7 linked regions of the Canis lupus familiaris genome follow. The protein of the gene in region 5 purifies or fractionates together with the protein of the main gene of each other region. This does not show direct contact. Links are inferred from orthologs where the notes say so. Each region holds a gene or a part of one and is shown on either strand. Other genes may lie near its edges.

What was found.
Region 1: the proteins of VCP (region 5) and BTRC purify together in Homo sapiens (affinity purification with western blotting; 4 studies listed by BioGRID). This does not show direct contact. The link is inferred for Canis lupus familiaris from reciprocal best matches to the Homo sapiens genes VCP and BTRC.
Region 2: the proteins of VCP (region 5) and CUL1 purify together in Homo sapiens (affinity purification with western blotting; 4 studies listed by BioGRID and IntAct, with this or other methods). This does not show direct contact. The link is inferred for Canis lupus familiaris from reciprocal best matches to the Homo sapiens genes VCP and CUL1.
Region 3: the proteins of VCP (region 5) and UBAC2 purify together in Homo sapiens (affinity purification with mass spectrometry; 3 studies listed by BioGRID and IntAct, with this or other methods). This does not show direct contact. The link is inferred for Canis lupus familiaris from reciprocal best matches to the Homo sapiens genes VCP and UBAC2.
Region 4: the proteins of VCP (region 5) and TUBB3 purify together in Homo sapiens (affinity purification with mass spectrometry; 3 studies listed by BioGRID and IntAct, with this or other methods). This does not show direct contact. The link is inferred for Canis lupus familiaris from reciprocal best matches to the Homo sapiens genes VCP and TUBB3.
Region 6: the proteins of VCP (region 5) and SVIP purify together in Homo sapiens (affinity purification with western blotting; 3 studies listed by BioGRID and IntAct, with this or other methods). This does not show direct contact. The link is inferred for Canis lupus familiaris from reciprocal best matches to the Homo sapiens genes VCP and SVIP.
Region 7: the proteins of VCP (region 5) and UBXN10 purify together in Homo sapiens (affinity purification with western blotting; 3 studies listed by BioGRID and IntAct, with this or other methods). This does not show direct contact. The link is inferred for Canis lupus familiaris from reciprocal best matches to the Homo sapiens genes VCP and UBXN10.

What each region holds. Positions count from the first base shown.
Region 1 is NC_049249.1:14,342,863-14,346,488, forward strand, and holds part of BTRC (F-box/WD repeat-containing protein 1A), read left to right. Parts: intron 1-776; coding exon 777-887; intron 888-2,351; coding exon 2,352-2,430; intron 2,431-3,626. UniProt on the Homo sapiens protein: Substrate recognition component of a SCF (SKP1-CUL1-F-box protein) E3 ubiquitin-protein ligase complex which mediates the ubiquitination and subsequent proteasomal degradation of target proteins. Recognizes and binds to phosphorylated target proteins.
Region 2 is NC_049237.1:1,659,867-1,663,492, reverse strand, and holds part of CUL1 (cullin-1), read left to right. Parts: intron 1-2,302; coding exon 2,303-2,351; intron 2,352-2,714; coding exon 2,715-2,846; intron 2,847-3,626. UniProt on the Homo sapiens protein: Core component of multiple cullin-RING-based SCF (SKP1-CUL1-F-box protein) E3 ubiquitin-protein ligase complexes, which mediate the ubiquitination of proteins involved in cell cycle progression, signal transduction and transcription.
Region 3 is NC_049243.1:49,408,143-49,412,302, forward strand, and holds the start of UBAC2 (ubiquitin-associated domain-containing protein 2), read left to right. Parts: upstream 1-1,312; 5' UTR 1,313-1,634; coding exon 1,635-1,665; intron 1,666-4,160. UniProt on the Homo sapiens protein: Restricts trafficking of FAF2 from the endoplasmic reticulum to lipid droplets.
Region 4 is NC_049226.1:64,180,466-64,184,678, reverse strand, and holds the start of TUBB3 (tubulin beta-3 chain), read left to right. Parts: upstream 1-1,386; 5' UTR 1,387-1,486; coding exon 1,487-1,543; intron 1,544-4,213. UniProt on the Homo sapiens protein: Tubulin is the major constituent of microtubules, protein filaments consisting of alpha- and beta-tubulin heterodimers. Microtubules grow by the addition of GTP-tubulin dimers to the microtubule end, where a stabilizing cap forms.
Region 5 is NC_049232.1:51,941,676-51,945,301, forward strand, and holds part of VCP (transitional endoplasmic reticulum ATPase), read right to left. Parts: intron 2,637-3,626; coding exon 2,525-2,636; intron 2,336-2,524; coding exon 2,163-2,335; intron 794-2,162; coding exon 651-793; intron 105-650; coding exon 1-104. UniProt on the Homo sapiens protein: Necessary for the fragmentation of Golgi stacks during mitosis and for their reassembly after mitosis. Involved in the formation of the transitional endoplasmic reticulum (tER).
Region 6 is NC_049242.1:45,097,801-45,102,188, reverse strand, and holds the start of SVIP (small VCP/p97-interacting protein), read left to right. Parts: upstream 1-1,517; 5' UTR 1,518-1,621; coding exon 1,622-1,675; intron 1,676-3,429; coding exon 3,430-3,480; intron 3,481-3,949; coding exon 3,950-4,063; intron 4,064-4,388. UniProt on the Homo sapiens protein: Negative regulator of the ER-associated degradation pathway (ERAD) of misfolded proteins. It competes with AMFR/gp78 for binding VCP/p97, and inhibits AMFR/gp78-VCP/p97 complex formation that is required for degradation of ERAD substrates.
Region 7 is NC_049223.1:78,140,488-78,144,653, reverse strand, and holds the start of UBXN10 (UBX domain-containing protein 10), read left to right. Parts: upstream 1-1,347; 5' UTR 1,348-1,493; intron 1,494-1,610; exon of another isoform or gene 1,611-1,804; intron 1,805-1,941; exon of another isoform or gene 1,942-2,139; intron 2,140-4,166. Other genes in the region: PLA2G2C (putative inactive group IIC secretory phospholipase A2), read right to left, coding at 1,143-1,225. UniProt on the Homo sapiens protein: VCP/p97-binding protein required for ciliogenesis. Acts as a tethering factor that facilitates recruitment of VCP/p97 to the intraflagellar transport complex B (IFT-B) in cilia.

The sequences.
Region 1 (3,626 bases), on a different chromosome or scaffold from region 5:
ATGGGGCTCAAACTCAAGCCTGAGATTAATCAAGAGTTGTACGTTCTTCTGACTGAACCAGCCAGGTGCCCCCAGTTTTTTTAATTAGCATGTAAGCATTTTTGAGAACTTGCTTTTGTTTCCATTATAGAGAAAAATTGTCCTGAACAATGGGTGAAAAGAGAAAGTGTCATTAGTAACAGAGGTGGACATACTTTGTGAGGGCAGGATATCACTGACACTATGTATCTCATTCTTTTTTTAAGATTTTATTTATTTATTCATAGAGACATAGAGAGAATGAGAGACAGAGACACAGGCAGAGGGAGAAGCAGGCTCCTCACGGGGAGCCCGATGTGGGACTCGACCCCAGGTCTCCAGGGTCACGCCCTGGGCTGAAGGAGGCATTAAACCGCTGAGCCACCCGGGCTACCCCATGTATCTCATTCTTACTGGTGATTTCAGGAAGCATTACTTTTCTTTTCTTGGTCATTTCCTTCACAGGCAACTGGGTACATTGAATTCATCCTTTTTATGCCTTGGAGACCCTGGTTACAGACTTATATAAAGCATTGTGCTTTGAAAATATATATTTCATTTTAACTTAAATCATACATTTTTCTGTCTGAGTTATACAGCAGAAAGGAAATAAATTACATTGAAAGCAATACATTTGGTATGAGTATTGATTGATTTTATTTTTGTGGAATTTTTTGAAGACATATGAAGTGTATTATAACATGCCAAGCTTAGAAAAGAATACATGAAAATTCACTTGACTCAATTTTCTCTTCCAGATTATGGGACATAGAATGTGGTGCATGTTTACGAGTGTTAGAAGGCCACGAGGAACTGGTGCGTTGTATTCGATTTGATAACAAGAGGATAGTCAGTGGGGCCTATGATGGGTGAGTTTGCTAACAGGGTTTAAAAAACAAAATGTACATCTTGATTCCTCCTACCGGAGGATGTTAAATACAGTATTTCCCTGACTCTAAAAGATTATAGATTTTACAGAAAGGATCTGATACAATATTTCTTGTGTCTCATCTATGTATTCCCCTCTCCTTTGTTTACTTTTCTAAGATATTTTTCCCAGTCATTTAATTGCACTTGTTTCCTGGTGATTTTCATTAACAGTTTAGTTATTTAGTTATGCATTCATCTGTTTTGATTCACCTATAAAGCAAAGAACTAGGAAAACACAGTATGCCAGGATATGTGTGTAAAATAATGACTTATTAATAAAACTGAAATATTGGAGGCAGTATCTTTGGGGCATAATGTGGTAGGCTCTTGAATTTGATGTCTTTGAGTAATTCCTAAAAGCGCAGCTCTCTTGTCTTCACTTCTCTTAACATTTTAGTGACAAGTTCAGTAATCTTTATTTTCTTCGGTCTAATTTCCAATGGTTTTAAAATCCATTCATGTTGTGAATGGATCCCATGTCCGGCAATGCTAAGCACATAGTAAACTCACATAAAAGTGTATTTACTTATGAAGGCCTCTTTATTATTTCTTCTTGTCAGGATGCCTGACATGAGGGAGTGGAAGGCTATAGTTCACATCTTGGCAGCTTTTTAAATATTAGAAACTACCTTACTACATTACCTTAGTTTAGGAGCTGGCAGTGATTAAGACAACTCATACAGTAGGAACAGACCATTTTCTCTGCTTTGAGTCATCCATCACTGTTCTACCCTGTGGGAGATTGTTCAGGGTGTGAGAACATACTCCAGTTACATGGTATTTTCTGATTGCCCTGGTTTTTATCTGTACCCACCTTTCTTGGGTTTTGTCTGTTATTTACCTTGAGGAGACATGACCATATGTTTGGTTCTTGGAAGAGCTAAACTTTTCTTATTTTAATCAAAATATGGGAATTTGTATAAACTCCAGAGTATTTCAATGGGCTCTAGTCCTCTGGTTCAGGTTACCTGGGCCATTCTTAGAATTGACCAGAAAGAAGATACTTCACAATTGTAGGTTTCTAGGTCTAAGTGATCTCTTCTATCAGTCTTTAAGAGTCTAATATATAAGATCTCTTCCTGGCCCCAAAGTATGGTATAACTTTACCATTCACTTAAGCTTGGTTAGAGCTAACCTATTTCTCATTTTTAGGTTAAACCTGTACATTTTTCCCCTGTTAAGACCAATAACCTCTACCCAAGAATGAATGCAAAAACCAAGTCTCCAAAACAAAAAAAAGTTCTTATATATTCTTGTGAGCTGCATTTATCATATAAATTACATTCATCAAAAAAAAAATTACATTCATCATACCTATTTATTGCCATGACTTTTTGCTATTTTTCCCATGGTCCCTTAATTTTGCTTTTAATTAAGATTTTTGTCCCCTTTTGGATCTTTAGAAAAATTAAAGTGTGGGATCTTGTAGCTGCTTTGGACCCCCGTGCTCCTGCAGGGACTCTCTGTCTACGGACCCTTGTGGTAAGAACCTTGCTGTTTAGAGGGGGTTGGGGAACAGGAAGGGAAAGAAATGAAACATTGATGTGGTATGGAATACAGATCTGGATTTGATAGTTAGAAGCTCACGAAACCTACTACTAAGTGGAAAGGCAACTAATACATGACAATAAAATATGTTTTTTTAGCGCCTTTCATCCAAAAGTGCTTTAGAGACTATGTATAGAAAGGAATGTGGCAGCTGTTTAACAGCTGCACAGCAACTCTACACCACAGTTTAGTACAGGAAGTGAATAAGGATTCTGTATCCACCAGAAACAGTAGGGGGTACTTAGGGAGAGAGAACATAATTACTCAAATTGGAACCTGTCCAGAAGCTGAGGACCTACACACCTGTGCCTGCAAAAAGTGTCATGGGAGTCTGTGTGAACCCCCGGTCAGCCCCCTGGCTCTGCAGCCTATTCAAGGCATGCTGCCTCCAGCAACATGAATCCCATCTCTTTTATTCCTTGCCATAAACATCTTGACATTTGAGGAAAGAAGTGACTCAAAAGGAAGAAAGTCACCTTTGAAAGTGCTAAATTCTTTATCATGGTGTTCACCAAAGGCCCGGATGAGAAAATGGCCTAAGGTTAAAAGCTGCTGCCATTGGAAAAAGAAAATTAGGTGGGGCACCAGGGAGCACAACTCAGGGTAAAGATGAGAGCTAGCATTTGAAGCCCAGTGTTCTGAATCCTAACTCTCAACATTTGGCAGCCTCTGCTCTGGAGAAGAGAGAGAGAGATGTTTCTTTGTCTTCCTGATTGGATTTAAAGCTCATTGTTGCAGCATCAGACCTACTTTACCTGCATGTTTCAGACATGTTTTTTAAAATGTATACTTTCATTCATTTAAAATTAATCTAAGTCTAAATGAGGTGTAATTTACATACAGCAAAATTTACCCTTTTTCAGTGTGTTTTTCTGAATTTTGCAGTGTGTAAACACCTTGATCGAGATCTAGAACATTTCTAACACCCCAAAAATTATACCGCTTCATAGCACTACCCTCTCCCACACCCCTAGCCACTATTCTGATTTTTGCCATTTTATGAATGTCCTATAAAGTCATACAGTATGTAGCTTTTTGCATTTGGCTTTATTCACTTCATTTGAGAGTCATTCATGTTGTTGCATGTGTTCGTGCTTAGTTCTTTTGTATTGCTGAGTAGTATTCCACTG
Region 2 (3,626 bases), on a different chromosome or scaffold from region 5:
GGGTTTTTGTTTTTTTTTAATGTTACTGTGGGCTTTGAGAATTATAGAATTTATTTAGCTAAATGAAGTTCACAGGTTGGTCAAGCAGTGGTTACGAGGGTGGCAAGGAAGGAAGGAGTAAGTGTCCTTCTTGTACTCCCTGCGGATGTTCTGTGAGCCTCGGTCATGATGCCAGGGAAGATCTCCTGTGGGAGCTCCCACTGGCTGTTTTCTGAAACAAGACTTTCTGTGCACTCTGGCATTTGAATTATCGTGTGCACTTTTAACATTTATCTTCATGTGATCAATTCGTTTTACTGCTGTTTCGTATTCTTTGTGTATGTGTATATTTACATTTATATATTTTTAAAGATTGGGGCTTGAGCTCACAACCCTGAGATCGAGTCGCTCCCTACACCAGCTGAGCTAGCCAGGCGCCCTTCGTATTCTTTATTTATTTTTATTTTTTTAAAGATTTTATTTATTTATTCATGAGAGACAGAGAGAGAGAGAGAGAGAGGCAGAGACACAGGCAGAGGGAGAAGCAGGCTCCATGCAGGGAGCCCGATGTGGGACTTGATCCCGGGTCTCCAGGATCAAGCCCTGGGCTGAAGGCGGTGCTAAACTGCTGAGCTACCTGGGCTGCCCCCGTATTCTTTTTTTTTTTTTTTTTTTTTTTTTTTTAAACCATCATGTTTCTCACCTGTTCCTCCTCCTCTGTGTGTGTGTGTCTATTAAGAGCTAGAGGCCCCATGATCTCCTGTGGCTCTCTCCTCTGCGTTGTGCTTCTAGGGTTCCAGGTTGTGTGTATTTGGGTATTCTCAGCTTCTGTTTCAGTTTTCCAGCAATCCATCAACAAACGCAGTCATTTCCCATGCCCCCATGTTGTCCTGGTTTTGAGATGAATAAACATCTCTTAAAGGCTCACCTAACCCCACTGCAGAAAACACTGAGGATACCTACATGTACCAAGAAAAACACTGGAAACAAGTCCCAGAACAGAGTTGGGGAAATCCTAAGTAAAGTGTTAGCAGACTAAATTTATTAGAGAACTAAAGAATAATTCTCCAGAACATAGTATAGTGTCCTAGGAATGTAGGGATGGCTTGGTGGTAGCAAATTTAACGTAATTTACTATATTAACGGAAGTATATGTGGTCTTCCTGGCAGACGTGGGAAAACGTTTGATAATGTCACTAGCTGTCTCTCTGACTTTGCCAGAAAGCCATGTCCCCAAGGCTGGTGAAAATGGGGTATTTGGGGGTGGTTTTCTATTTATTGCAAGTCTGGTCAGTGTATAATTCAGCCGTTCTAGTCCGATCTTTTCTTGTAGTCCTTCGAGAATAAAAATGGACTTTAAAGTGGAATGCCTCCTCTGACCTGATTTCATTTTTTTTTAGGCTAGATTATATGAAAATTCTCAATATTTTATTTTATTTTTTTTTTTTTCAATATTTTAATAACATGCTTTAGCAGACCTTCAGTTTGGCAAAAAACTTATTATCCTTTTTATACGTTGCCTTTTCACAAGAGGCCCTCACCAAGTCTCTTGGTGTGTTGTTTCTTAGTTAATGCTGCCAAAGCAGACAGAATGGCAGACACATGCTAGGGTTGCTTCAGTGAGCACGCACTAGTGAGTGGAGCTAAGAAAGAAAACTCTTCCAGAGAGAAAAACCACCCTGGGCTACCTGTGTGAGGACTAGGACTGGATTTTCTTAGAAATACCTTTCCAGAGCTTGTTTGGTCATTTCATGTGCTGGATCATGAGCTGGATCATTTCATGTGAACTTATGGGGATCTTATCTATGAAGGACTCATAAAACCTTAAAAATTTCATTTACCCTAGAGTCACCTTTCAGTTAATACTTGTTCATAAAAGAGAAAGAATTAGTTGTTAAGGGCAGCCCTCTGTTACATAGAACCACAGAGGAAGGCAGTGCTTTAGTGGCTTTAAACAGTTTTGTTTTCTTTAATGCTTAGGCCATTAGAAATCTACATGTGCTTTTGGTTTTTTCAGAGTTAAATTAAAGCATATTATAGGAAGCAGTTGGCAAAGTAAAGTTCCTTTATTTTGTGTTTAGGTAGATTTCCTTTCAGAAACGAAAGGAAAGCTTGAATGTTCAGGGCAGACTTTAATAAGTATCCTCTGTTGATTTTCATCTTGCATGTCCAAAACGATTATTTCGTAAACATGTTCTTCCGTGATAGTTTCAGTGTAAGATTGCCACGTTGCCATAGGTGAGAAAAGTTTGGCTCAGTGGTACTTGCTGAGTAAATGTTTACTGATTTGTTTGAAAACAGTATACCTTTTTTTTTTTTCCAGTTCCAAGAATCCAGAAGAAGCAGAGCTAGAAGACACGCTCAACCAAGTGGTAAGGCGCTTCTTACTAATCACTCTGGTTTCCAGTAGCAGTTTATCTCCCAAGTTTTAAGGTTACTTGTATAGGGCATCTGAAATGTGAAAATTAATAGGATCATTTATTTTACTTCATATCTATGGTTTTACTCCCTAAATTGAGTCATTAATTTTAGCACTCGTACTTTCCTCATTAGTACTAAGTCTAGACCAACTTAATATGATTAAAGGGGTTGATGAAAATATTTCAAGACTGTGGATGGTATTTTTTTTTTACCACTGTAAACGTTGGCACACAGGCCAGTCAAAATAAAGCACCTGTGTCGGCTGCCGGCGTGTGTTTAGTGCATTAAATCTGCTCTCTTGGTGACTTCACTAGATGGTGGTCTTCAAGTATATAGAGGATAAAGACGTGTTTCAGAAATTCTACGCAAAGATGCTGGCCAAAAGACTCGTACATCAGAACAGTGCCAGTGATGATGCCGAGGCGAGCATGATCTCAAAATTAAAGGTAAATTTGATCATGTCCTGAGAAAAATCCAGTTTTTAAGTCATCGTGAAAGATCTTAGCTGTTGCAGGTTGTCAGTGGGCAGAGTCGCTAGTCTAGGTAACAAAGAGTTTGTATGGAATGAGCCCCGCTGCTCCGCTACAGGGGGGTTGTGACCGGTCAGGCCTCCCCTCCCTGTTTCACATGCTTTGCCAACCCATCCATGCTGCTCTTGGAGGGGCCTCCTGTCCCGTCAGACCCGGCTGTGCCGTGCTCACCACCGCAGCATCTCCTACTCCGCACATTCGTCCCCACTCTGTCTTCACACACCAGAACCACTCAGGGTGGCTCAGCCCACCTGCATGTGGTTGGCTTTGAGTTGGTTTGTGTTTGTTTTGCTCTGGGTTTAGTTCACTGTCTGCGATTGTACCTGCAGGAAGACAGCGTTTTACTTGATCGTTGAGCAGTTATTTCATTATCCAGCCACCTCTGCGCTGAGCTTGTGCCTGCTAACCTGTTGAGTGCTGTGATGTGTCTTAGACCTATTTCACTTCGACTGAAATTAGTTATGTGGGTATATTATTCTGCTCAAACTGCCGTAACAAAACACCATGGACTGGGGGCTTTAACACTAAAAATTTATTCTCCCAGTTCTGAAGGCTGGAAGTCCAAGATCCAGATGCTGGCTGATTCGCTTTCTGGTGAGGACTCTCTTCCCACCATGGTGACAGCCGCCTCCTCGCTGTGCTCCAATGTGGCGAGGAGCAAGAGCAGACTCTGGCCTCTTTTTACAAGGACCCTAA
Region 3 (4,160 bases), on a different chromosome or scaffold from region 5:
GGAGTCTCTTACAGTTTGTTTTCCTCTCTAGTTTTTCCCCACTCAGTTCCCCTCCTTTCCCCTATGGTCCCTTTCACTATTTCTTATATTCCACATGAGTGAAACCATATAATTGTCTTTCTCTGATTGACTTATTTCATTCAGCATAATATGCTCTAGTCCCATCCCAGGGGAAGTGAATGGCATAGGTATTCATCTATCTTGCAGTTTGACTCCATCTTACCCACGCAGGATTTTGTAACATGATGCATTGATCAGCTGGAGAATGTTGGTTCACAGAGTTTGCAGCCCTTCCAAAGGCACAATGGGAAGCTCCACTGTACACTCCTGAGTAAAAGGAAATGTCTTTGTACAATCATGAAAATAGTTCTGGCCTTCTGGATTCCCCAAATTGGGGTGGGGGAAGTAGCCACACCTACTTTGAGAACCAGTGACCTATGCTGGCTACCGGTTTTGTTGCTAACCAACAGCTTCTGCAAAAACAAAGAAAAGCCCAATAAATAAAGTCACTTATACTTTCGCCTTCTAGCAATAAATCCGTGTTGAAATTTTGGGTCACTGGCACCTCTCTTCAGAGGCAGGGACTGTGTTTGATTGATCCACAAATTCCAGATTGAGCTCAGCGCCTGGTCCTTATAAACACTAAAAAAATGTTTGTTTGTTTGTTTTTCCTGTAGTTTTGTAAGGTGTCCTTTCCATTTAGCCTTGTCAATTTCGCAAAAAGTATTCTTTAATAACTACACTAGATAATATAGTTTTCAGGTTCAAACTCATTTAAAAAAAAGCATGACTTTGCCTTAAAGATTAATATCATTTTGGGGATCCCTGGGTGGCGCAGCGGTTTGGCGCCTGCCTTTGGCCCAGGGCGCGATCCTGGAGACCCGGGTTCGAATCCCATGTCGGGCTCCTGGTGCATGGAGCCTGCTTCTCCCTCTGCCTATGTCTCTGCCTCTCTCATCTCTCTCTCTCATAAAAAAAAAAAATTAATATCATTTTGCAAGAGAGGAAAAAAAAAAAAAAAAAAAGGCCAGGTCTGGAGGGCGCCAGAGCAGACGCCTGGGGAGCAAGGCGGCTCAGAGCCTCTCGCCCTCGGCCGGACGCCGCACCCCGGGGAGCCCCTGCCGACGCCCTGGGGGAGCGAGCTTCGGCGCCCAGACACACTGAGCATGCGTGGAGCTCGCCCGCGTCCCGTCCCGGGAGAGGTTAGAGGTCGCCAGGAATTAGCCCCGCACCCCCGCCCCGACGCCGGCACTCGGAGGAATCCGCTGCCACGCTGCTCCACGGGGCGTGGGCGCCGCTGAGCGCTGGAACGTTGCTCGCGGCAGCTGCCCTCCGGCTCCTCCCACCATCTCCCCTTCCTTCACTATAGCAGGCCCGCGGCAGTCGGAAAAACCCGGACGGGCGGACGCCTCCGGCTGCGGACCGACTTCCCTTCCCGGGCAGGAAGGGAGGGGGCGGGCGGAGCGGTGCGGCCCGCGGGCCGCGCATGCGCCGCTCACGGGCAGCCCCAGGAGTGGAATCCAGTTGCCGGATTCGCCGCTGCGCCGGGAGTGCGCCTGCGCGGTCTCCGGGTCCCTCCACCTCCGCTTCCCCTCCCCCTGTCCCCCCTCGGGGGCTCCGGGTCCGGCGGGACCATGTTCGCCAGCACCGGCTCCAGCGGGCTTTGTGAGTACCGGCCGCCGCCATCCTGGCTCTTTCCCACGCGGCACCCTGGGCACCTCCTTGAGAAGCCTGGGGGCAGCGGGGACCCTCGGGGTTGTAGGAGGTTTGGGGGCCGACCCTCCATCCCCGCGCCCGAACCTTGGGGGCTCCTCCTGCGGGTGAGGGGCGGCGGGCCCGGCCCCCCCTCCCCCGCCCTCAGCCCGGAGGGGCCAGTGGGCGCTGAGTCCCGCCGGCAGCCCCGGCCCTCACCTGTGAACCCCAGGTACGATGCTCAGGTGTTCCAGGTGGACCGGAAAGTTAGGGTCGGCCTGGGCGTCCCGGTGTTCTCCGGGCTCGACCCCTTGCGCTCCGCGGCGCGGGTGCCAGGCTGAAAGAGGAGGCTGTCCTGGTGGAGCCGATGCTGGAAGCCTGCCCCCTTCCCAGTCACCTTGCTCCATTTAGGCTACAGAGGGACCGAACTGGCTCCCCCCCAGGTGCACATTCCAGCCTCGGTCTCAGGAGCCGACCCCAAGGGTTTACTTAGATTTTTTTTCTTCCTCGGTTTCCCGTGAGAGTTTTTCGACAAATAAAAACTGATTAAAGTACATTAAAGTGGAAGGAAGTGAAGAAGTCATCTGGCAGGAAAGTGCGGACATTGCTGCTGGATGTTGCTGTCATCGTTCACTTGAACGTCCGCGGTGGTCAGCAGATAGAGGGCAAAGCAGTGCATGGAGCCTTTTAAATGACAATTTTTTTTTTTTTTTTCGCTGAAATTGTTTAGTTGGCTTTCGGTAAGGTGGACTGTATGTTAAGTAAACAGCACCGAGATTAGGCACTGGTACAGTAACAGGAACTGTTTGAACAGGCGTAATTTAAAATTGCTTGTCACTGTTGGTACTTCAGAGCTCTCTGCACGCGAACTTAATCGTGCCTCAGTATGGAAGCAGTTGACATTTTCAAATATTAAAAGATGTATTGTGATTGTCAGAAATCTTTTCTGAGAATACAGGTCTCAGTCCGAGACTGCCCATCAGAGCCACAGGCGCAAGGTTAAATCTTCCTCTCTCAACCTCTCGGGTTCTGGAGCGGGTTGAGTATTTATGATTTTCCTTGTTTCATAATTAATTCGATTTATGGTACTCGTTGGCCTCAGAGTAGGTTACAACTACGAGCTAATCTTCTCCAAACCACCCTTGAGATAAAATACATACACATAGGACTGTTGATACTGCTGGTCAAGAAAGTGGTGATTTTCTTGGGATCACACAGTGAGTCCTACACTGGTGGATATAAAATTAATGGTAGAATCTTCCATTTTAGTTATTTCAGCATTCTGAGCTATTTTTACTTGCTGACCAAAATACATGAAAAAATTAAAAAGGTTACTATACTGCATTACTGGGTTACTGGTTACTGCTGGTGATTACTATATTGTAGTAGCCATTGTATTGCAAAGTTTATTCAGATGTGATACGTGGTGACATTGGGGTTAACACTTGATCACGTGGCACAGGGTTGATGAGTACTGAATTCTAGGAACCAAACTCCTACCCAGGGAGAGGCATAGGCCAAGGCTTAGGCCAGGGCCTAAGCTGTCCTGCCCTGTTTCTAAAGTAAGTGTTTCCTCAGGGTAAGACTTGATGGGATGAAAAAAAAAAAAAAAAAAAAAAAGACTTGATGGGATGGCCATTCCTCAGAAGGCCATGTCTTCTGTGCCCATTTAACAAACATTTTGAACATCGATTGTGAGCTAGAAACTGCTAGGTGCTGGGATTGCGATGTTGAACACGTCTTGGTCCCTTGTGTTTGCAGTGTTTACAGTGGACTTTGGGCGGTTTTTCCAGGACTGGTCTTGGCAAGACTGGGTATGAGCAGTTACCTACTTTAAAATTTCTCCTTGCAAGGCTACCCACTGAGAAGTAAGTGATTTCATTTACTAAGTTGTATGGCTCTTTGGCAAGTCAAAGCTCAGATTTTAAGTTAAGTATCCTAAGGAAGGCTAATCTGCCTACCCATGACCCCATGGATGATGAGTAACATTCTCTTTTCAAGAGAAAAAGTCTCTGCATTTCCTACCACCTGCATAGGTTCCTCATTTTGTGACTGGTAGATAATGGGGTTTTAGTGTTACATTTGCCTTCTGATTTATTTATTCATTAAGTGTCTATTGGGTAAGCCACACACTGTGTACAAAGGATAGAGAGGTAAACAGGATAAAGGAGACCAACATGCAATAAGTTAACAAACAGTGTGATTTCCCTTAGTGTTAAGTGTCATGAAGACAAGATGAGTGTAATGGCATGATTGCCTGCTTCAGCAAGTGTGGTCAGGGAGGGTAACCTGGGAATGTGACATTTGAGGTGAGAACCAAATGGTGGGAAGGAGCCAGCCACGTCAGAATTTGTCAAAAAATGTGCATTTTGCAGAAAGGGAGCAGCAAACACAAAGACCGAAACAGGCACGGCAGGGCATTTTCAAGGTACTAAAGAAAGCTGGGTGTTAAATCAAGGGTAGGGCAT
Region 4 (4,213 bases), on a different chromosome or scaffold from region 5:
AATGCTCACCAAGGACCCCCTGAATGGGGACAGGGAGTGGCCCCAGGCAGTGGAAGCCAACCACAGAAAGCCACATCATGGACACATTGTGGGGGAGGGGTGTCTCTTGAGAACAAAAGACCCATTTCTAGACTAGCCAAACTGGAGAGCTTGGGGGACGGGGGAAGAGGGGCTTGTGCACGACCACACCCTGTCAACGCACTCTTGAGGAGCCCAGACACAGACACATCACAGGCCTATTCAGCCAACAGCTTGTGGAACACCCATGCACTCTGAGACCCTTCCTGGGAGAATTTCTTACTCAACTATCAGAAGGACCTTGTTATAAGGTCATTTCACTACAGAGTCTGGCCCCAGAAGAATAGTAAGCCAGTGGTATATGTATGTGTAACATAACATCTGTACTGCATGTCCACTTCATCCCCTTTCTCTTCTGACCAGTGGACTCCCTTTCCCAGTTTTTTTTCTCCAAGAATCCCCCCCATCTCTGCCTTATGCACACACCATCTCACTACATAGCCCCTACCACCAATGTTGTGTTGGCCTCACTTGGACCAAAAGTCCAGGAGTACAGGTGACATCAGGAAGTGAATCAGACAGAAACCACTGCCCACCATCCCACACCCTGCCAGTCCCTCACCTGGCTTGTGTCCTTCCGATAATTCCTGACATCAATATTCACTGAGCAGCGATTACACACCAGGCACTGTGCCTCGCTGGGGTACAAAGCCTCCCCCTGCGCAAGGTCCATTTGGAATCTCATGAAAGCCCCTGAGGGAGGAGGGGCAGGTGGCATCCCCCCACTGCAGGGAAGGACGGGGAAGTTCACAGCTGCCATTGTAATCGACCGTCCTTCTGACTCCGCGTTTCTGAGCCCTGCTCCATGCTTTCTTCTGGAGGGTTCAGTGTCTGCTGCAGCCTCTTCCTGCCTCTCCCACCCCTAAGGGACCCAGCAAAGCTCAGGGTACCTCGTTCGTCCCTTTATGCCACAAGACAGGGAGCTGAGAGGGAGAGGCGTCCTTTTGGGATGGAACATGGGGTTGGTCCCTGAGCGGGTGTGGGGAAGAAAGACTGTCTGCAAAGCCGCGGGGTGGGGCTGCCGCAGCGGTGGGACCCGGGAGGGAAGTCTGGGCGGGGTCCGAGAGCCAAGAGGGGCTTCTATTGTCCTCCCAGGAGCCCGCCAGCCCCTCCCCTCGGTGTGCGGGGTGGGGCCCAGACTCCCGCCCCCCACGGGCCCCCCGGACCCGGGTGGCGGCGGGAGGAGGCGCCGCATCGCGCTGCCGGGCGGGGATGCGCGGTGCTGATGCTGCAGGCCGGTGCCGCATTCTGCGGCGGCGTCCCCCGATTGGCCGCGCGCGGTGACGCCAGGCCGGGCGCTGCGGGGGGGCCCAGCCTATAAGAGCGGGCGGCGGGGGCGGCCGACCCTCCGCAGCCAGCCCCGACCCGTCCGCGCGTGTCCCGCAGCCGCCCGCCACACGCACCGAGCATGAGGGAGATCGTGCACATCCAGGCCGGCCAGTGCGGCAACCAGATCGGAGCCAAGGTGAGGACGCGCGCCGCCTCCGTCCCCTCCCCCGCCCCAGGCTCGGTCCCCGACACCGGCACGCGACCCGCGTCCCCACCCAGAGCCGCGCTTACCACCGCGAAGCCGAGAACAAAGGGACGAGCCGGGGTGATCCCGGCCCTGCCACGTCCACACCGCCTGCCCTCTGTTTCTGCTCGGGTTAGCTCAGGCCTGCAGGAGCGCAGCCCAAGTCGGCGACTAAGCTCCATCCACAGCGGCTGCAGCTGCGGGGACGGTTTGGGCGTGGCCCTCTTCTTGGGGTCGCAACTCAGCCTTGAGCGAGATGGGTGGGGTGGGCAGGTGTGGGTGGGACACCCCCTTCAAAGCCGAAATGATTCCATCTGCCCTGCTCCCGCTCCCCCCACCAACAGGATGCCCTCCAAGTGGCCAGAACCCCCCCACACAGGCCCCCAAACATACAGTTTGGAACCTCGGCTTCCTGACCCCACCCTGTTCCTTTGTTGGGGGAGGGGTTGGGCCCAGACTCGGGGTGACCTTGGCCCAGGACTGGACTCTCCCTCTGCTCAGCCCCGCCTGGACAAACGCCCGGTGGGGTTGGACAGCGCCCACTCAGGGACCATGGAGTCAGGGTGGGTTGTGGGAACAAAGCTGGGCTCTGGAATGGAGAGCTGCATCACCCTGCGGCTCCTCCCCTCCATTGTTAGCCTTCATCGGAGACCTTGGGACTAAGGGGATGAGAAGGTGGTATCATTCCCCACTGGAACCTAGGAGACAGTTGTCACGTCCCCAAGTCCAAGGAGATTATTTCTTGCCCAAGGTCACACAGCAAGTGTGACCAAAGAGCCATGCTATCTTCCAGAGCTCTCGTCCCTGCAGACGTCCAGCCCAGGGCTCAGGCTGGGTGGGTGGGGCCTGCTGCCCACTGGGACACTCCACAGAACAAAATGGGGGACCCCAGGGGTGGCTTTGTCAGGACCAAGGCCAGGGACCCAGGGTGCAGTGGTGCAGGGCGAGTTTCCCAAAGGAGGCAGTGGGAGGAGACAAGTCTTGGAGGGGAAGGGGCCAAGGAAGGGATTCCTCTGGAGGCTGTTGCCATGGAAACCAGGCAAGAACAAAAAGCTAATTACAACCCGGCTGGGGCAGCCTCGTGGCTGATATGTAAATTGCAACTTCTCTAGGGTGGAGGCGACTTGGATGGGGTGGAGGGGTGGTACCAGGGAGACTCCCTAATCACCCGAAGAAACAGCTGTGCCTGCCCCAGAAAGGGGGCTGGGAGAGGGGGAGGCCGGGGGGGATGATGGCCTCAAATCAAATCAGGGCTCCTGGGGCAGTCACTGACAGCTGCCCTGGCCAGGTGGGAGGGGCGGGGGGCTCATTAATGTGGTCACAGGGGCCAGGCCTGCCCTGAACATCTGCTCCTCAGAGGGTCAGGGGTCACTGGGGGAGGGAGGGCAGCCCTGAGTTCAGCCTGAGCCTAGCGGAGTCATGATCTGTTTATACACCCATCCTTTCTGTGGCCCGGACAGACACATATCAAGCAAAGGCAAGTCCACGCCCGGAGCTGTAGCTGGGCTAGGGCTAGGGGTAGGGGTAGTGGGAGGGAGGTGGCAGGAGGAGGAGGGAAGAGGGCAGGGGCCATAGCCTGAATGCTGGACATGTGTCCTCAGCTGAGATTTTTTTTCCTCCTTCTTAGAGTTGTGGCCTCATGGGTTTGCTAATTATTTTTATTCCTTTTGGGTTGATTTTCTTATTTTATGTTGTTTTAAAAATTAATGTCTGATCCTTTCTAACAATGAAACCAGAGAGAGGTGGATTTTGTGGGGGGAGGAATTGTTTCTTTCTTTTCCACCTCTGCCTTTTTTGGCCGACCAATGACAGCAGTTGAGCTTTTTCCTTCTGGACTCCTTGTCCTGGAAAGTCTTCAGAGACCAAACTCAAAGAAAATGCTGAAAGCTGGGGCCAGGCCCAGCAGATGCTGACATCTGCCCTGTGGAGGGGCAGTTCATTAACCATTTCTGTTTACTGATCCCATATTGGCTGTGGGCTTTCTGGTGAGGGGAGAGAGCAAACCTTGACATCCCATCACCAGCAGCAGCTGACAGGGGTGAGGGTGGGGGTGGGGTGGGGGTGGGGCTGCTGCTCTGCTTGCTGGACCTGGAGCGGTGCCTGGCACAGTTGCGCCTGCTCTAGCGAGGGCCCTGGCTGTGGAAGGATGGAGAGAGGTCAGGGCGAGAACACACCTCTCCTGAGAGGCAGTTTGACATCGATCGCTACTGATTGAGCACTGTGCCAGATGCTTTAGGCGCCATCACCTCACGGGGAGGCAGCGAGAGGAGGTATCGCCCTTCCCCCAGGGGTCGTTCCGGGAAGTGGAGGCACCGCCCAGCAAGGATAGGGCAGGAGTCTGAGTCTAGGTCTGCACGGATACATCAGGATGGGCGGGGCCTCCCACCCCCCACCCGCCACCCGCCACCCGCCACCTCACCGTCGCCACCAAACTGGCGGATGAATCCGGGGACCTCGGCCTTCCCCTCTGGGTGCAGGACCTTCCAGGAGCCTTTGTCTGCGCCCCCTTCTCTCGGCCGCTGGGCGGAGCTTCGGAGGGGCGGGCCCTGGCGCTGACCGCCAATGCGGGGAGGGATTTCCTGATTTCCTTGCACCCGCCTCCTAACTGGGTCAGAGTAGCGC
Region 5 (3,626 bases):
GTGGATCACTGTGTCTGGGGCAACAATGCAGTAAGGACTGGGATCTGTCTCCACTACTTTGAACTCTACAGCACGCATTCCACCCCGGACAAGGAAAATGTCTCCTGTGAGAGTAATTAGCACAAGTGCAGTCAGAGATGTCAAATACCAGAGCAAGTGAGAGTTCCTCACCAGAACCTGTTGTCTAAAATGCCAAGTTCACTAGATACTGCCCCTTTCCCCTTCCCACCTCTACCTTATTAAGCATCAGGCAAGAGGAGAAAGCTAAACTGTGAAGTGTCCCTCTGCCATTCAAGAGGACACTGAACAAAATCTTATGGGCTATAGGTAACCAAGCTTTCACAACAACCACAGATGATCAGACTGTGCTAAATATTAAATACACTTTGGACTGTGACACAGCCAAAAAGTGCCCAAGTCCTCCTTCTGGGACAAAGGAGAAGAGAGCTTACTCTACTGAAGCAGGGAATGATAGTAGGGAAATGGAGGAGTGGGAAGGAGGAGGAAGGAAGGAGAGTACACATGAGCGTGTATGCAGAATGTGTGTGTAAGCACACATATGAGAATGAGATAAAGACATTCCAAGATTTACTCCCAGGTATCCCTACAAACAACTATCCTTAAGCTCAGTCTTTAGAATTATCTCTCACCTTTCCGGATGGGTCGATAAGCTTCCAGGAAGTATGGCTTAAGGTATACCTCGAAGAGATTGCCAGTGATGCCTTCCACCGTGTCATCGATGGGTAGCACGTGGATACGTTTGCCGTACTTCACATCAGGACACGGCTGGATGCTGAGGATGACAAGCAGACTCCACATTACCAACCACAATGTAGCCCCAAACACTGGGCGTCTGAAAGTGCCTGGCACAGAGAGCTGACGGCAAGTAAAAGAAAAAAGGTAGGGATGGCTTTAGGTGAAGAGAGGAAGGAGGGCAGAGTGAGAGTGAGGACAAAAGAGCAGCCAAACAGAACTAAGACCAAGTCATACTTGGGGGAAGGGCAGTAGTAGGAGCCATTAGAAGAAGCTACAAATTTACATTAAAATTTTATTTTTTTTAGGTAAATTTAAAGTTGAACTAAAATGGGGCTGCTCACTCCCAATCAGTGAGCCAAAAGGAAGACCCACACATGTAAAGCCCCCAAAATGAAGAAATAGGAGCAAGGATCTTCAGTGAGAGATATCCAAAGATGACCCATTTGGCTAATATTAGTAACCCAAAATTACGGAGGCCGTAGTGGGACAAGTATCAGGATCAAAAAAATAAAACTGAAAAAAAAAAAAAAAAAAAAAGTCATCTCAGCCAGGTGGTCAGAGAAACTTGACGTGATTAAGCACCTCCAGAAGGCTACATGAAATCTAGAATCCATTAAAAATAATCAGAAGTCTGAGATGTTCCTGGCCAGTCTCAGATGTTCCTGACAGGGGGTTGGATAGCTGTGGCTAGTGATGACTCCAAGATGGGAAAGCTTCTTGCCTAAAGTTAAGTTTAAAATCTCTCAGATTGGGGATCCCTAGGTGTCCCAGTGATTAAGCTCCTGCCTTCTGCCTGGGGCAGGATCCTAGAGTCCCAGAATTGAGCCCCACATCGAGCTCCCTGCATGGAGCATGTTTCTCCCTTTGCCTGTGTCTGTGCCTCTCTCTCTCTCTCATGAATAAAATCTTTAAAAAAAAAAAAATCACTCAGATAGAAGCTGAAGCTATTCAGGGTCTGACTCAAACTATGCTTCTATTCTATATTAACTTTGATCCATAAAAAAACCCTAATCGGAAATTCGCCTTCTATGCCCACACTCCTACCTCATTCTGGTCCCAACACAAGCCATTATTTCAACATAACAGTGAGATTGTTTCATAGACACTCTCAAATGGTATCCTAAACCAGCGTTCAGCATGTTATAAATCATACCTCTGGCAAAAAAAATAAGTAAAGGTATCACAGAAGTCACAGAAATGCAACTTGTCCCAAGGGTCATGCAGAAGTAAATTCTGAAGTCTCAGGGAGGCAGAATCAAAACCTAAAGATAGCCCTGCTATATTAAGTCTTCCCATGGCTAGAAGGATTCTGCTATGGGTAGCTGCCAAGAACTTCATTAGTCCTGTCTATAATTCAGGCTGTCTCTGGCCTCCCATCCCTGAGGGGCTAAGAACCCCACACACACCTGATTACATCCCCTAGATGTACGCGAAGGTTATTCCGAACAACTCTATTCATTCGAATCTTCTCATCGGAACATGTGTCATCAGAAAGCACAATGCACACAGCTTCCCGCCTCTTCTTTCCTTTCAGCAATACTGTGTCACCTCGGAACAACTGCAGTTCATCCATCTTGGGCTGAGAAAAGAAGGTTAAGGCCTTTGGGTCACTGGGCCAAGGGGTAGGCAGCAGCCCTGGAGGCTGGAATTCCCAGTAAACCCCACTCTATCTGTGGTCACTGCAAAAAAAAAAAATGAGGAAAGAAACCTGGGAAAAGTCCTCAGGTTAAGTGCAATAAGGAAAGACTGAACCTTTGACCCAACTTACCTGGGACAAGGACACCACACTGTTGTCCTCATTGATGGCTTCATCGACAATTAACCGATTGGGACGATTCTTCTGTTTAAGAATGGCTGTTGATAAGTCATCACCTTTTGAACTAAAAAGAGAAAATGAATTTAGTCCCAATACATACTCCAGTCCCAGGGACCCCACCAGTCTTTAAAATTCACACTTACGAAAGAAATAGTGGATATATGAAGCTGTCCCTATGCCAGAGAGGTCAGATAAAGGATATTCAGCCACGGTCACGAAGAGTAACATTTAGCACATACAATTCCCATTCCAGCATCTCTTAGTATTCTGAGCACTGGTATCCTAGCTGTTAAGGCCCCAAGTGATCTTGCCCCAGAGTCAGGAAACTATGGCCTGAGAAGACTAAATAGAGGTAGAGGCTGAGTAGGACACCCAGGTGGCTCAGGGGTTGAGCATCTGCCTTCAGCTCAAGTCATGGTCCTGGGGTCCTGGGATCGGGGTTCTGGGATCGAGTCCTGCATCAGGCTCCCCACAGGGAGCCTGCTTCTCCCTCTGCCTGTGTCTCTGCCTCTCTCTGTGCCCCTCATGAATAAATTTTTTTTTTTAAAGTAGAGGCTAAGTAACAATTAGAGAAATGACAATAATCTTAGTATGAAAGAAACAGTGATTAGGAGAAGGGGCTATGCAGTCAGACCTGCTGGGTCTGAATCCCAACCCTGCCACTGTTTAATTGTCATCTTGAGCAAGTTACTTAACTTCTCTGGATGATGATGTCCTCATCTGAAAAGAAGCAAATACAGTAGTACCTATCTTAAAGAATTATCTTAAGTGAGATAATGAATGCAACAATGCCTGGCACATGGTATTAATGGTCACAATGATTACCACTGCAGAAGAAAGCATAAACTCTTCTTTGCTAACCTTCTTGGAGAATGAAGTGAGCAAGACAACTTCCTGTAGGACTCAGGGAGGCCCCAAGTCCCACCAAGCCTGGGGACAATGAAGTAGAATCATTAGCACTACCATCCTTACTGGCTAAACCTGCTAAATTCCAGAGCATTCTATATACCACAGAAATGCCAAGCACAAAGACTATGACATTTGGGGAAAACTA
Region 6 (4,388 bases), on a different chromosome or scaffold from region 5:
TTTGGAAAACTGCACAACCACATGCAAGAGAACAAAAAATGGTCTTAACACCATACACAAAAGTCAAGTCAAATGGATGAGAGATCTGAACATAAGACCTTAAACCATAAAACTCCTAGAAGAAAATATAAGCAGTAAGCTCACTGCCCTTGGTCTTGGTGATATTTTGGATTTGACACCAACAGCAAGGCAACAAAGGCAAAAAATAAACATCACACTAAAAAACCCTTCTGCACAGCAAAGGAAGCTACAAAGTGAAAAGGCAACCTATGGAATGGAGAAAATATCTGCAAATCACATATCGGATGATGGGTTAACATCTAAAATATACAAGTAAATCCTACAATTGGAGCAAAAAACCATAAATGACCCAATTTTTTAAAAATGAGCAAAGTACCTAAATGGACATTTTTCCAACAATATATGAATGAATGGCCACTGAAATGCGCTCAACATCATTAATTATCAGGGAATTCAAATCAAAACCACGACGAGGTATCGAGTCACACCTGCTATGATGTCTTTTACCTAAAAGACAAGAGGGCCTTGCTGGCCAGGATGTGGAGAAAAGGGAGCCCTGTAGCTGCTGCTGGGATGGTCAACTGGCGCAGCCACCATGGAAAGCGTTATGGAGATTCCTTAGCAATTAAAATTAAAACTGCTCTGTAAATGGCCCAGGAATCTCATTTTTGGGTATATGGACAAGGACACCAAAGGATTATGATGAAGAGGTACCTGTAACCCCAAGTTCATGGCGGTATTAAAAAGGCAACCTATGAAAACAACTTAATCTGCCCACTGACAAATGAATAAAGAGAATGTGGGGCTTCTATTTCTGTCTCCCTCCCGCTCTCTGCGCAAACGCAGCAGGCTCCCGGCCACCTGGGGCGGAGGCCTCGTCTGCCCCCCCCCGGCATTGGTCTGGCGGGAGGGGGCGGGAGGGGGCGGAGCCAGGCGGGAGGGGGCGGAGCCAGGGCGGGGCGGGGCGCGGCAGAGGGGCGGGGCCACGGCGGAGCGTTGCCGCAGAGGGATGGAGTGGGGGCGGGGCCAGGGGTGGGGCGTTGCCGCAGATGGGGGCGGAGCCGTGGTGGAGGGGCGGGGCCAGGGCGGTCCGTGGCGGGGGCGGGGCCATGGGCGGGGCGTTATCGTAGAGGGGCGGGGCGAAGCCGCGGGAGAGGGGACGGAGTGTGGGGGGGGAACCGGGCGGGGCCGGAGCGTCGCCACAAGGGGCGGGGCGTTGTCCTGGGGGGCGGAGTCGGGGGCGGGGCGATGCCGCCGGGGCGGGGCGGGGCCGGGCGGGGGCGGAGCGTCGCCACAAGGGACGGGGCGTTGTCCTGGGGGGCGGAGCCGGGGGCGGGGCGTTGCCGCCGGGGCGGGGCGGGGGCGGAGCGTGGCCACAAGGGGCGGGGCCGGGGCGGGCCGGGGGCGGGGCCGGGGCGGGGCGGGGGCGGGGCCGGGGGCCGGCCGGGCGGGGCGGGGCCGGCCGGGCGGGGCGGGGCGGGGCCGGGCCGGGCGGGGGCGGGGCGAGCGCAGGAACCTGGGCCGCCGCGCTCCGGGCGCCGCTCGCACTGCGGGTCGGGTCGGGTCGGGGCGGGCCCGCGGGCCCCCAGCCGCTGTCCCCATGGGGCTGTGCTTTCCGTGTCCCGGGGAGTCGGCGCCCCCGTCGCCGGCCCTGGTGAGTAGGCCGCGGCCGGCCCGTAGCTCGCGTCCGCCGACCGCGCACCTGCTCCGGGGGGGAGGGGAGGCGCGGGCGGCGGGAGGCGGCGGCGGAGACGGGCGGCTCCGAGGCGGCGCTGCAGGGCCGAGGCTCGGTGCCCGCCGGGCTGCAGGGGCGGTGCGGCCGCTGGGCCTCCGCGGGCGGGGGCGGGGGCGGGGCGGGGGCGCCCCCCGGATCCGCGCCCCGGGGCTGAGCCTGAGCCCTCCCTGCCTCCCTCCCTCCCTCCCTCCTCCGAGGACCGCGCGCTGTCCGCGGTCACGAGGGGACGATTTGTGACGTTGCCACATTTAGCAAATACAAAGCGCAGGGCGCCCACTTAAATTCCAAGTTGTTTTTTTTTTAATTTTATTTTCCTTAAGACTTTATTCATTTATTCGTGAGACGCAGAGCGAGAGAGAGAGAGGCCGAGACGCGGGCGCGGGAGCAGCAGGCTCCGTGCGGGGCGCCGGCGGCGGGGCTCGATCCCGGGGCCCGGGTCCCGCCGGGCGAGGGCGGCGCTTCCCGGGCGGCAGCGCTGGGACGTGCTCACGCGGGAGTGATCGCGGCCGGGCCGGGGTCGGGGCCGGGGTCGGGGTCGGGCCGGGGTCGGGCGCCGGGAGCGGCCGTGGCTCCGCGGACACCCCGCCCCTGGCGTCGTCCGAGGAGAAGGCGGTGGAGGAAGCGAGCTGTTGGGGGAGAGCTTGCCGCACGCCCCGCTGCCGCCCCCGCTGCCCCGGTGACCCCGCTGCTGCCCCGGGGACCCCGCTGCTGCCCTGCCCGCCGGTGTCGGCTAGGCCCTCCCCTCCCCCAGGTGGGCACAGGGCTCGCACCCGCATGTCACCCACCTTTGCAGTTGCTGGGGGCCACCCTAGCTGAAGCGGACCCCCCCGGCCCCCATCCTGATCCCCCGCACGCCCCTGTGCATCCCCTCAAAGCGCCCACGGCTGTGCAGCACCTGCACCCACCCGGTTGCACTCACCTCCGTCCGCCCATCGCGTGTGGACACATTGGCGTGTTTTCACCGCTGCATCCTCAGCGCTTGGAATAAGGTCCTGGGGCAGGTAGTTGCCCAGGAACTGCGCGTGCAGTGGAGGAATGGATGTGCTTATTGTGGCATGAAAAACAAACGCAGCCAAGAGAATTCTATTTACTGTCTTAGAGATTTTAAGGAACTTACCAAGGCCAGCAGTACAGGATAGAAAGAGGACCCCCCCCCCCCGCCCCCCGCCCGTGTCCCAGCATGGAGCAGGGCCTCCTAACAAGTTTCCTTCGGGGCTTGGTGTCCTGCACGATGGCATGAGCCCTGGTCATCCGTGGACATTTCCCGGAAACCCCAGCCTACTTCAAACCACGCATTCCGCTCCTTGTCTTACTAAAAGTCATTTGTTCTATATTCTTGCCCTGACTAGCGTATAAGCCCCCCTTTTTAAAAAATAAGTAATAAATAATAAATAATTTTACAGGCCAACCCGATCTTGTGTATGTCTTATATGCATATAAAACATTTATTATGTAAATGTGTCTTAAATGTGCTTACCTGAAGGTAATATCAACTGGGAGGATGACATTCAGGAAGTTGAGGATTTCCTAAACAGTGTAAATAGCGACAGTCTTAGTGGACATTTTGAACAAATACTAAATATTTTTGTAAATTACATCGCCTCTAAGACAGGACTTCTCCGCGATAATGTTTGCTTTGATTCTAAAAACCTGCTTTTACACATTTTCTTTAGGAAGAGAAAAGAGCAAAGCTTGCAGAGGCTGCAGAGAGAAGACAGAAGGAGGTAAGAGTAGACATAAAATCCTGCCCACAGAGATAACTGTGTACTTTATTCTATTTATTACTAGTGTTCTCTAGTGAAAATGCTGTCCGCTAACGTGTAAATTTACATGTAGTCATTTTTCAAAATGATTTCTGTAGGTTACATAAATGCATTTATATCATTTAATACATGAAGATTACAGACGTCTTCTGTAACATAAGATTGGCCCTTAAATGACCTCCTTCCCTGGGATAATGCTACCTTGCCTTTTAAAACACTGACAGATGTGAGATTTACAGAAAAAAATACCCAATGAAGAAATAGTAAGATGTTTTCTATGAAGCTCTTATAGAAATAGTCTAGCTCTTTATAGCCAGAATTAAAACCCCTCACCTTCCAAGAAAAACCCAAAAAGCAACAAACCCACACCTTTTGGATATTGAATACTGATTTTGTTGTTTCCCTGTACCACTTAATACATTCTCTAAAGGCTGCATCTCGGGGCATTCTGGATGTTCGGTCTGTGGAAGAAAAAAGAAAGAAAAAGGAAAAAATAGAAAAACAAATGGCTGAATCTGGGCCCCCACCAGAAGGTGGACTTAGGGTAAGTATTAAAATTTACTTAAGGTTTAATTTATCTGGAGTTTTTAAAACCTTCAGTAGCAGTCTATTGAATAATTTCCTCTTGCAATAGATTATCAGAAAATTTTGAATTAATTTAAAAGCATGAATAATAGAGATTGGAAGAAGTGGCAATTTATTTGGACATTCCAACATTTGTTGTAGTAGATCTGCCTTTTTTTTCCCCAAAATGAAAATAGATTGTTTTTTCCTGATTACCTTAACACTATCTTAGTACTTTATATAATTAACACTAATACATGGGAAACTTACTATGAAGAGTATAAAGAAGAACATAAAAATTACCC
Region 7 (4,166 bases), on a different chromosome or scaffold from region 5:
CCAAATTGTGACCATCTTGTGGGTGGGTCAGAGTTGTGCCCTACTGTAATCCTGCGTCCATGCGTCTGGGATACACTAGATAGCAAATATCTGGCCACAATGCTAGGTAATGAATCCTAATCCTCTCCACTGATAATTTGGTTCTTGGATGTCTACTAACATCATCTTCCAATAATGTAGTCACAAAATTATTCATCTGCATATTCCAAGAATCTAGAACAGTGCCTGGCAGGCAATAATAGTCCAGTAAGGGCTCCTTCTGAAGCCATCTCAATTCCATTTTGGAAGAGTCTTCATCCATCAAGTTGGGATCTGAAGGGTGAGTGGGCATTAGGCAAAAGAAAGGAGGAAGCCAAGTGTGGGGAGGATGGAGAAGGATCTTCCAGGTATCGGGGACAGCAGGAGCAATGCTGGAGTGTGGCCCTGTGGCAGGGAACTGGCTTGGCTGGGGGTGGGGTGGGGGTAGGGGTGGTGTCTGGAGGAGCCGTAGGTCTTGGACAGAGTCAGAGAACGTGTCCCCTCCCACTCGAGCAGGAGAGAGGGAGGAAGGCAGGCAAGTGTGTAGTCTGATGGCAGGACATTAAGAAGGCTTCCATAGGATGGCTTCTACTTTCTCCCTGAAGAGGGAAGTAGGGATTCTTCTATGTGGGAGGAGGGGCAGGGAGAGGGAAGAGAGGAGAGGTTTCAGGAGAGAGGACAGGTCTGAAGTCACCGCGGAGGAGAGAGGAGACAGGACGGAACCGTGGGAAGTGGAAGGATTTCTTCTGAAGTGTTGAGGGTCCAGTAGAAGTTGGAGACCACATCTTTCCATTACCCCCAGGACCACGGCTGGTCAAGGTTTCTCCAGCCCCTGGGTGTGGGTGGACTGATGGATGGAAACTCCATCAGCCCTCAGGTGGGAGGGATGGAGAGGCCCCCGGAGAAGCGCAGGGGGGACTCTCCTAAGGGAATGGTCTGGGTAGAGGGCCTCGGGCTGGACAGGGCAGGGAAGAGGTAGGCCGCGGTGGGGAGAAAGGGCACAGGGCAACGGGCTGGGGTTTCCACCGTGGGGTGAAAGACAAATGGGTAGCGGTGACTGGGGTTGCCAGAAGCGTAGGGGTAGAGGTGAGGAGGGGCAGAGCAGGGGCAGAAGCAACTGATACCAAGGAAGGGATGGAAGTGGGGGTGCTGATGAGGAAGTTGGAGGGGTTGCCCTGAGGACAGACAAGGCCCCAGCTGGACTCATGCCCTAGAAGCACCCTGGCAGCCTGTAGGGTTCGCAGGAAACCAGTCCAGCAGCTGCCCCCCAAGCCGGGAACACTGAAGGGCTGGGGCCTGCCCCGAGGTCACGGGAGCCAGGAGCCCCCCCCCCACCTGCTCGCCCCAGGGCCGGGCTGGGCGGCCCAGAAGGAAGCACGTGGCCCCCTCGGGCGCGTTGCCCGGGAGACGCGGGCTGTTTACCAGCGGCCGGAGCCGGCGGACAGGCGGATGGAGCAAGGATGGAGCAGCGGCAGGTGAGCGCGCCGGCCACGGCCACCGCCAGGGTCACGGCCAGGGCGACGCCCCGGGGACAGGACGGGCCCGGGGAGAAGCGGCCACTCCCGGGGCCACGCAGGCCCGGCCCAGCTCACCGTTGCAGGAATGGGGCAGCTCCCGGGCTCCGCGGAAGCCCCGGGGCCTGGACGGGGACACCGACCCGCGGGGACCAGAGGCCGTCCCGCACACCGAGAGGCCCGAACCAGACCAGACCGGAGCTCCCCCAGACCCGTGCTCTTTCACCTGGGCGCCTCTCACTTTCTAGACGTCCCCTCCTGCCCCTCCCCCAAATGCCTGCTTCTGCTGTTCCAGCCCCTTTCGGTCTAGAGGGGCCTGCGGGCACTTGGAAGATCTTCTGCAGCTATCCTCCTCCACCTGCCCCTCCCCACGCTGCTCCTGCAACCGTCCCCACTGCCTTTTCCAAACCTTTGATCACTTGATGGCTTGCGGTCCAATTTCTCCACTCCCCCTTTGAAACGTGGCACTCTGCGTGGGACAGTGCATTCTACTCATTTAGTCGGGGGTAGAACTGGGAATGGTACCAAAGTTTTCTCCTGCTCAGGCCAACTACCATCTCCTGTTGATTCTTCTGAGTGCCTTTCATGCCTTTCATCCTGACAGCCTCACCAGGGGGGCGGGGTGGGGATTGGCAGGGGATAGTATTAACTGATAAACATTTTTAAAAGACCAATTCAAATGTATGCATCCTCGGTATACATCAGCAGATGGTACGTGGGTGGGTGTATTTTACTGCGTTTACCGTGGGTTTAGATTTGGGCTGTGAGTGGATGAGGGTGGTCTGACCCTGTGCTGAGGGGCGGGTGGGGGGGGGGCTCCTTAGGAAAGCAGGAGGATGGCCTCAGCCTTTCCTGTCACATGTTCTCCCTTTCCAGTTGATTGGGTGAGTAATCTTAAGGAATGGGTGCCTGCCCTTTTGGCAGTTCCCTGGAAACAGTTACCAATGTTTGTTTCCTGACTGCTAGCAAGCCTCTGGGGTGCAGCTATTCTGTTTAAGTAAACAGGCCACTTGCCTAATCAGCTGGCAGCTTGATGGATGCCTACACCTAGGTCTTGTCAAATCACTTTGTGGTTGAGCGATTGCCAGGCCTAGAGGTGGGGAAACGAGCTGAGCCGGGATAATGATGGGCTCTGCGTGAGTCTTCCTGGCCCCAGGGGCGGGATGGGCAGGGTTCGGGGACCCAAGGTGTGGCTGCAGAGGCACTGTTGGCCCAGGGTCCCCAAACACCTGTTTCCCCTGCTTCCCCTCTCCATGGGATAGATGCTGGGGAGAGCTGGTGCTCCCTCCATGTAACAGATGGTCCCCGAGCTCGGGAGGAGGCAGTGGGTTATGAAAGCAGGTTCGATGGAATGGTTTTACCTGAAGGAGGTGTTAGTCTCTAAATAACCATGAGTGGGCTTATAGGAATTAGTCATAATTGAGGTTTTTTTTTTTTTTTTTTTCTCTCTCTCTCTCTGAGATAGCTCGCAGTCATGTTATCTTATGACCAGGGTGTCTTGAATATGACACCCCCTGAACATGGATAATTATATAGTACCAAAAGGTATAGAAAGTGCATGCACATACTCAAGTTTTACTGTTAAAAATAATCCAGCAGAGAGCCTGCAAGAACACATGACTTTCCTCATCAAAGTTGTTAAGGAAGAGGTTTCTAAGTTACCAAACTTACTGACAGTTAAACCGTCCCGAGGCATGTGTGGGAGTTAGAAGCCAAGTCTGTGATAATTCTGTAGAAGCTGTGGCAAATTAATAGCCATTCCTTGAGGCGGGGAGGGTGAGCCGAGAAGGGGAGCTGGTTCCCGAGTTGAGCTTATCTTTGGCAGAACAGTTGGACAATTATGACCTTCTTGTGTCATCCTGAGTTAAAGTGCAGAGCTGCTTAATTGCAAGGGAAAGACTTTAGAACTAAACCAACAGGGAAGAAACCACGTTTTTCACAGTTGATCAGAAAATAGATTAAATTAACAAGGAGATGGGCAGGCTTTTTTCATGCCAAGGAGAAGGTTCCTGAACTCCCAGCAGCCAGACTGGGTGTGAAAGCCTAGCGAGAAGTGGAAGATGGGAGTGTGGAAAGACCCCGTCTGTGGACAGGGTAAAGCGAACACAGAGGCTTTTAAGTTAAGAAATGGAGGACAGGGATCCCTGGGTGGCGCAGCGGTTTGGCGCCTGCCTTTGGCCCAGGGCACGATCCTGGAGACCCGGGATCGAATCCCACGTCGGGCTCCCGGTGCATGGAGCCTGCTTCTCCCTCTGCCTGTGTCTCTGCCTCTCTCTCTCTCTCTCTCTGTGACTATCATAAATAAAAAAAAAAATAATTATTAAAAAAAAAAAAAAAAAAAAGAAATGGAGGACAGCTTTTGAACTGGCTAGTGCCTCGGGGATATAGGGGAAGACTGTGTTTTGTTTGGGTCTGGTCTTAATGGAGAGGGAGAGGATACTTTCTAAAATTTGGCAAGATGGGTGAGAGGCACCGAACGGTAATGTTAGAATGGAAGGCTGCAAGGCTGGCATTACATTGCTCAGGATTGTGTGACAAAGGTAGCGTGGAGTCAGTTTGAGGTGAGGATGCAATGAAAGTGTGGAATTAGAAAGCGTTATTAGAAAAGCATTATTTTGCATTTTTGAGGCAAGT